Linked DNA regions of Arabidopsis thaliana. The protein of the gene in region 1 purifies or fractionates together with the protein of each later gene. This does not show direct contact. Each region holds a gene or a part of one and is shown on either strand. Other genes may lie near its edges.

What was found.
Region 2: the proteins of IMS1 (region 1) and AXL fractionate together in Arabidopsis thaliana (co-fractionation; one large-scale study listed by BioGRID). This does not show direct contact.

The regions. Positions count from the first base shown.
Region 1 is NC_003070.9:27,840,221-27,844,146, reverse strand, and holds the start of IMS1 (2-isopropylmalate synthase 1), read right to left. Parts: upstream 2,039-3,926; 5' UTR 1,890-2,038; coding exon 1,183-1,889; intron 1,045-1,182; coding exon 831-1,044; intron 745-830; coding exon 664-744; intron 499-663; coding exon 406-498; intron 305-405; coding exon 218-304; intron 1-217. Other genes in the region: ENO1 (enolase 1), read left to right, coding at 2,246-2,634, 3,008-3,315, 3,541-3,695, 3,825-3,926. UniProt on the Arabidopsis thaliana protein: Catalyzes the condensation of the acetyl group of acetyl-CoA with 3-methyl-2-oxobutanoate (2-oxoisovalerate) to form 3-carboxy-3-hydroxy-4-methylpentanoate (2-isopropylmalate).
Region 2 is NC_003071.7:13,755,604-13,759,529, reverse strand, and holds the start of AXL (AXR1-like protein), read right to left. Parts: upstream 1,938-3,926; 5' UTR 1,829-1,937; coding exon 1,791-1,828; intron 1,683-1,790; coding exon 1,510-1,682; intron 1,417-1,509; coding exon 1,253-1,416; intron 1,160-1,252; coding exon 1,049-1,159; intron 963-1,048; coding exon 883-962; intron 753-882; coding exon 602-752; intron 508-601; coding exon 414-507; intron 165-413; coding exon 76-164; intron 1-75. Other genes in the region: GLR5 (glutamate receptor 5), read left to right, coding at 3,297-3,558, 3,908-3,926. UniProt on the Arabidopsis thaliana protein: Regulatory subunit of the dimeric ECR1-AXL1 E1 enzyme.

The DNA.
Region 1 (3,926 bases):
GAAAGAGTAAATATGCAAGTCAAGAGTTGAGAACCTAATGATGATTCCTTCATTAAATTCTTTTCAGGCTGAGTAAATGCTATAAGGGTAAGTTTATCTTGCAAGAACTAAAATTCCAGACTAGGAGAGTTACATTTCTCCCGTTTAATAAAAAAGTGAAGCAGACTTTAGTCACAGAGACACTAAGAATAGCATAAATTACGATTGATTAACTGACCTGATGAATACCACTTTCATGCGCAAAGGCGTTTGCTCCTACAATAGCCTTATGGGGCTGCGTTTGCATACCAGTGTACTCCTCAACCTGAGAAAATGAGAATAGACCTTAAAAAAAAGGAAAATCGCCAAATAAGAAAAATATACTTTTGTTTCCACAGAGTTAAGAATGAAGTTCAAAATGTGTACCATCTTGCTTGTCATAACAATGTGCCGGGTATCGATTCCAGTAAATAGGCCTCCTAAGACATGATCTCCACGGCATTTTATGGCCATGACAACCTACACAGTAAGAATAAAATGTTCAAGAAATAATTTAAGTATTTATATGCAGTTCACTATGAGATCATAAACTGAAAATCACAAAAGTCATAATGCCTTAGTATGTAGCATAATATCTAAGTAACTATGGAAAGGAAGCTACTTCAGGAGGCTTTCATATCTGACCTCTTCCAATGAAGCGTTTCCAGCTCTTTCGCCAATTCCATTGATAGTCACTTCCACTTGCCTCGCGCCCGAATGTGCACCCTGAATTCAAAAAAAGATTGACATGTTAGTAATAACTTCTAACAGCTAACCCGATCCAACCAAATATGAAAAAAAAAATGGCATACAGATAAAGTGTTGGCGGTGGAGAGTCCAAGATCATTCTGACAATGTGTAGAGATTATAACATTTTGGATCCCAGGAGTATTAGCTTTAATATCAGCAATCAACTGACCAAACTCACTAGGCAAGGTTATACCAACAGTGTCAGGTATGTTAAGAGTGGTTGCTCCAGCTTTGATCACTTCACCAAGAATCTCGTATAAGTACTCTCTCTCCGATCTGGCCACCAATTAAACATTTCACGTTAGCAGAATCAGCTACTAATAAAGGACCATCAATACATTAAAATACCATCGAATCCAAAAAAAAAGGAACTTGAGAACATTCCATGACGGCATTTTACAACAAAACTATTACCTTCCGGCATCTTCTGGACTAAATTCAACATCTTCACATCCCAAGCTTCTGGCGAATCTAACCATGTTCCTAGCGATCTCAATAACTTCTTCTTTACTCTTCTTCAACTTATACTTCAGATGAATATCACTAGTGGCAATAAACGTATGGATTCTTGGCCGCTTAGCGTACTTCACAGCTTCCCAAGCCGTCTCAATATCCTTCTTGTTACATCTCGAGAGACCACAGATTACAGGGACATAGCCATTTTCGTCGACGGTATTGCCAACAGTCTCAGCTATGGTTTTAACAGCTTCGAAATCGTCTTTTGAAGCAGCGGGAAATCCAGCTTCGATGATGTCGACTCCGAGCTTGGCTAATTGACGAGCGATATCGAGCTTTTCCTTGGAGGTTAGTGTAGCTCCGGGAGACTGTTCACCGTCTCGGAGAGTTGTATCGAAGATTCTGACGTAATTGGGATCGGATATACGGTTAGGGATGTAATTGGGACGACGGCGAGGAGCATGAGGTGGTAGAGGTGAAGAAGCGGAGAGAGAATACGAGACACGGAATTTTCCGGCGGTGGTAAGAGAGATGGTACGGTGGTTCTGTGATCGGAGATGAAGAGATGAAAATGGTGAGGTGGAGGAGGAGGATAAGGCGGGAATTGAAGGTACACCGAACGATGGTGAAGAGAGATTAGGGCTTTTGAGAATCGAAGACTCCATTGCCGTGGAAAATCAAAAACCTGAGAGAGATGATAGTGTGGCGGCGGCGGCGACGGGCGACGGCACAGTGTCTCTGGTTACTACTTTGCTAGTGAATATTTTTGATTTGTTTTATTTATTTGAATTGTTCCGAACCGAACCGAACCAAACCAAAACCAGAAACTTCTCTTTAACAGTCAACCAATTGGAAAATGAACCGGTTTAAGTATGGTTCTTTTGACTCCTTAGTTTTCATCGCCTCCGCCTGCACCAACCTCCAAAAGGACGTTTTTCAAATTATATAACATCATTTTATTCTCCGCTTCTCCATTTTAGTCAAAAGAATCACAGAGAGTATTTTTTTTAGGTATCGTGTAATGGCTTTGACTACAAAACCTCACCATCTTCAGAGATCTTTCCTCTCTCCGTCGCGTGTTTCCGGCGAACGATATTTGGAATCTGCGCCATCATGTCTGAGATTCCGTCGCAGCGGTGTCCAATGCTCGGTGGTGGCTAAGGAGTGCAGAGTGAAAGGAGTGAAAGCGAGACAGATTATTGATAGTAGAGGGAATCCGACGGTGGAGGTTGATCTGATTACCGATGATCTGTATCGTTCGGCTGTTCCAAGTGGTGCATCTACCGGGATCTACGAAGCGCTTGAGCTTAGAGATGGAGACAAGAGCGTCTATGGTGGTAAAGGTGTATTACAGGCTATTAAAAACATCAATGAACTTGTGGCTCCAAAACTCATTGGAGTTGACGTTAGGTGAGAATAAGAATTCGTTCCTCAATCTAAATGAACATATAAACGTCGTGATTTGGAGTTGGTATGCTTAGTTAGATAGAAATCTTCGGAGTTGTTTTAGCTTTGTTTCTCTGCTCTGGATTACTACTGGTCAATTTGGTGGACTTGGATTCGAATCGTAATGCATGACTGTTGAATTTGGAATTCTAGTTAAGGTTATTAAGGTTGTTTGTTGCATGTAGTTTTAATTTTGCTTCATACTTGATACTACTAAGTGTTGAAGTAGGTGTCATTGTTGAATTGTTCCGTTTGTGGTTTCTGATTCTGAACCGTTGGGAAACTATAATCGGTGATGGATAGTTGAATGTAATATTTTTACCTTATTTTCTTTAAGGAACCAAGCTGATGTCGATGCTCTTATGCTGGAACTGGATGGGACCCCAAACAAGTCGAAACTCGGGGCTAATGCGATATTAGGAGTGTCATTGAGCGTTTGCAGGGCAGGTGCTGGAGCTAAAGGAGTGCCTTTGTACAAACACATCCAGGAAACATCAGGAACAAAGGAGCTTGTCATGCCAGTTCCTGCATTCAATGTGATCAATGGAGGCAGTCATGCTGGGAATAGTTTGGCTATGCAAGAGTTTATGATACTACCTGTAGGAGCTACCTCATTCTCGGAGGCCTTCCAGATGGGAAGTGAAGGTCAGTTAGTGATAACTGGGTTTAACTTGCTAGAACTTAAGAAACTATGGCGGCTCCTAATTTTTCTTGAGTTTGCAATGAAATGTCAGAAAAACAGAAAAGCCTTGATAAGCAGCTTCCTGTTTCATATTTCTCTTTTGGTTCCAAAGTTCTTCTATTCTTTGGATTATCACAAAGAATTGTTTTTCTGATAGTAATGCATTTAATGTACTTTGTTGATTACAGTTTATCATACATTGAAGGGGATAATCAAAACTAAGTATGGTCAAGATGCTTGTAATGTCGGAGATGAAGGAGGGTTTGCGCCGAATGTTCAAGATAACAGAGAGGGACTAGTTCTGCTCATAGATGCAATTGAAAAGGCCGGTTACACTGGAAAGGTAATCAAGTTCTCTTTCTTTTTAATGCTAATACTTGCTAAAGTTGCATGTCATCTGTGTTTCCCTAAACAACTTCTGGCAGCTTCGGTGTCAATCTTACACCACTCACATAATATATAATTTTTGCAGATCAAAATAGGAATGGATGTTGCTGCATCAGAATTTTTCATGAAAGATGGTAGATACGATTTGAACTTCAAGAAACAGCCAAACGATGGAGCTCACGTACTG
Region 2 (3,926 bases), on another chromosome or scaffold:
GTTCTCAACCCCTTCCATGTTTGAAATATCAATATGAAGTATGTGCTTTGAAGTGAGGTCTTTCAAGTTACAAACCTTGAGTGCTGCTACCATTACCCAAAAATCTGAGGAATTTGAGCCAACTTCAGCACAACTATCATGATTAATGTCTTGAATCTCTTGGCCTGGAGAAAAAGAAAACATGTTTAGTTCAATGTGAAAACTGACTTCATATTTTGAACTCCAATGTTAACTGATCTGTTATGAATGAGCAGCAATGAATCATGCTTCATGAAAATAGTAGATAGTTGTCCATTTGGTTCTCGTTGCAGTTTTTCCCATTCTCCAACCAATTTCTTTATTTCCAGCATCTATAGTATATATTTAAAAGTCCAGTTTCCACCGATGTCAAGACGAGGTGTATGTATACTTACTGATTCCTGTAGGAGCAAAGACTTTGAAAGCTGCAAGAAGGGCTTCTTTGTAATTTTCTTCATCCGCTGATACCATCTTGGACTTAACTAAGTCCTAAAATTTCAAGGAGTAAGAGAGATAAAGACAAGGAATCACAAGAAAAACAAAGATTAATAACTGTTTGCTGATTAACAAAAAGTAAGGATACCTTAAACTCGTTTTTCTCTTCCCTGGTTGATGGAAGGTTGCCGCTATGGTGTTGAGCCCATTCTTCAGCCACCTTGACTAGAATGACGACGTAAGGAATGTGCTTATGGGCAGCGGGTTCTTCTACATTTAGATCAATGGACTCCACATAGCTGCAGATCATTGAATAAATAAGATTTTCTTTCAACTGGTTGCAAGTTTGTGGAGATTAAAAGTAATTTGAAACACAAGTTTAAAGAATGGCAAGAACACATAACGAGTGAGAAGATTGAAGCAGAGTACCTCTTCAGCTCAGGCCATGGACTATTCAAGCGGAGATCATCAAGAGAATGATCAGGCTTTGTCTCAATAGCGGTGTGTTCCTGACAGGAAAGAGCGAACATGACATAGCAGTTAGCAGACAGACCATATGACAAGTGACAAAGCACTCTATCCACAAAAATCTTACCTTTACACTGATACGAACAAACCCAGTAAGTCCATAGGAGCGAGCCAAAACCAACATGACGTTTGCTTCCCGGCAGATTCTATCTAATTTCACCATTGAATCTTCTACTAGCTACAATCAACACATGACAAACTAATAAGGCAAACGCTCTGTGAAAATCTGAAAACAAAGACTAGAAACTATCTAATCCTCAACATAATGTACCTGAGTGGCGATAACTAGAGTGAACTGAGAGAAGAAAGATGGGTCTGTCGATATCAAAGTGTCTGGATTCTCCTCAACAAAATTTGCTTTAACAGAATCGTTAAGCTCCTGAAGAAAGCCACAGACCGTTTTGGCTCTTGACTGACCAACGCTCTTCGCATCCACTGAAACATCAACAACAATCATCAATAAATGTCAATAAACAGCAAATAGAAGAAACGCATTGCTTAAGAAAGATGAAAAAGAGAGAATTATACCCATGAAATTGTTTCCAAGGTCGCCAATTTCTACTTTAGATCCGTCGACAATGGTGATACTTCCGATTCCACCAATAACAAGATTCTTTAGAGCCTCAGAGCCAGTTGGACCACAATTGAGCAAACATATGCTCGCGGTTTCAAGAGCTGATTGACCTAATTCTCCCCAAATCCTATGAATTTATCCCCAATCATCACAATTTGAGCGAAATTAAGAAGAATGATGAAAGAGACAGAGAAGTTGAAGAAGAGAAAGAGAGTTGGGAGGAGAAAGAGTGCACCTTAGCTGACGATCATACTTGGTTTTGGGTTCCGCCATTGTTGGTTCGTGCTCGAGTCTTTCGCGGGTTTTTCAGTGGTTCGTGTTCTCAACTTCAGACAGAGAGAAAGAGAAAGACGCAGAGAGAGAGAGAGAGAGAGAGAGAGAGAGAGAGAGGTTGTGACTTGTAAGAAAGAAAGGGAATGGCATTTAATAAGAGAACCTTAAGTTGTCTCCTTTCTTTATTTCCTTCCTAATTTGGAACATTTACAAAGTTTAGGGCTTAATTGTAATTTTTAAAAATTAAGACTGTATTATTGCAAAAACACCTTAATGTATAAAAGAGATAACAAATTATAAATAAAAACATATAATTTAAAATAAAATCAAAATTTATGTTTTCTGGATTGAGTTTTCATTTATTAAAATATATATATACATGGAAACATATCAAAATTTTATATAAATTGTAAAAATAAATGACATAGCTAGAAAAAAACACATATGTAATTTAATTAAATATTATTAGATGAATAAGTGATAAAATCTCATTATGTAATAGTTTTTTGCCGCCTAAAAATCTTTATTATGAATAAAAAACGCCAACTCAAATTTTGCCTTGCTACGGGTCTCTCTTTATGCAAAAATAAAATGAAATACTATTAACATTTCATTGACAAATTAACTTAAGAGAATAAACTTTTGAGAAGAAATAAAATGATTAACACATGGCAATTAAAATATTTATATTGTAATCTAATCTTAAATAAACTTAACAAAATGGGCCGTTACATGTAGGGCCCAATAATGATGGGCCCCACTGAAAACAAAAATACAAACAAACGGCTGCTGTGACTATAGAGTATATAGACTAGATAGGACTTTGTGAGCTCGAATCAAAAAAGCACTTCAGTCACACGTTTTTCAATTTCTCTCTTCTATTTTGTTCTCAGAAGAAGAAGAATGATGGATGAATTTCTGGGCATGATTTGATCTCTCTAGTTTTGTTTCTCTTCCTTTAGTAATCTCCTGTCAAATCATGGTTTTTTAAAAAAGATAGTTCTTGACTTCTCTTGTTAAAAATTCGTTGCGTTGTCGTAAAATTTCCCTTTTTTAACTTATGCCTACAAAGTGTTTGCGTATATTCCGCAGAGAGAACCAGAAGGTAGCTCAAAGAGGTAAAGAGAATGTCTCACTGTTGTTAATTTCAATGAATTTGTAAAAACTCTTTTTCAGATTTTTCTTCTGTCCGGATGAGTTTGTGTATATAAGTCTTCATATCCACATTGTTGCTAGTTTTCAGCTAAAATAATCAATTTGGTTTGACTTGTGATTGCTCTTCGCTTAGATCTTGATTCGTCTTCTAATCGCATTGACTCTACAGGTCAAAGTTGGAAACTTTACCTTGCTTAGTTCTCTAATCTTCTCATCCTCAATGCTGAATGAAGAGTTGCTAGATTTAAATGAGATGGTTCTAGTTCCAACACAAACTATCTGAAGTGGTCCTTACTTTGATTGCATTATCTCCATGGGACTGGGCATTGACCCATCTGTCGCTATTACGGCACTGATTGTGGTCATTCTGGTGGTTCCAATGGATTGCCAAAGACCTCAACTGGTGAACATCGGTGCTGTTTTTGCTTTTGATTCGGTTATCGGAAGAGCTGCAAAAGTAGCTCTAGAGGCAGCTGTTTCCGATGTGAACAATGATAAAAGCTTTCTCAAAGAAACGGAGCTACGGCTATTAATGGAGGATTCTGCCTGCAATGTCTTTCGTGGGTCCTTTGGAGGTACCGTGACTGTTCTTCTAGTTCTTTTGTGTTTCAAACACTTGTGACACTCATCCATGGCTGATACAGTATATCAAACATATTATAGAAAGCGGTCAATGCACATCAGTAGCAACAATATTTCATTTTGTGATAGTTGGAAATGATTGGCACATCGATTTACGTTTTAATCCGTTTTTTATTGGTACATATTTTGGGTTCCGAATGCTAATAATGCATAGAACAATATAGACCGCATACCCTAAACAGGCTGTTACTAGGACCTGTGTTTCCTGTACATAAGTGGAAACAAAACTTTGGTTTTACCACTAAGGGCCTGGTTTAAGCTTCAGTGGTTTTTGTTTTGCAGCTTTTGAATTGCTTGAGAA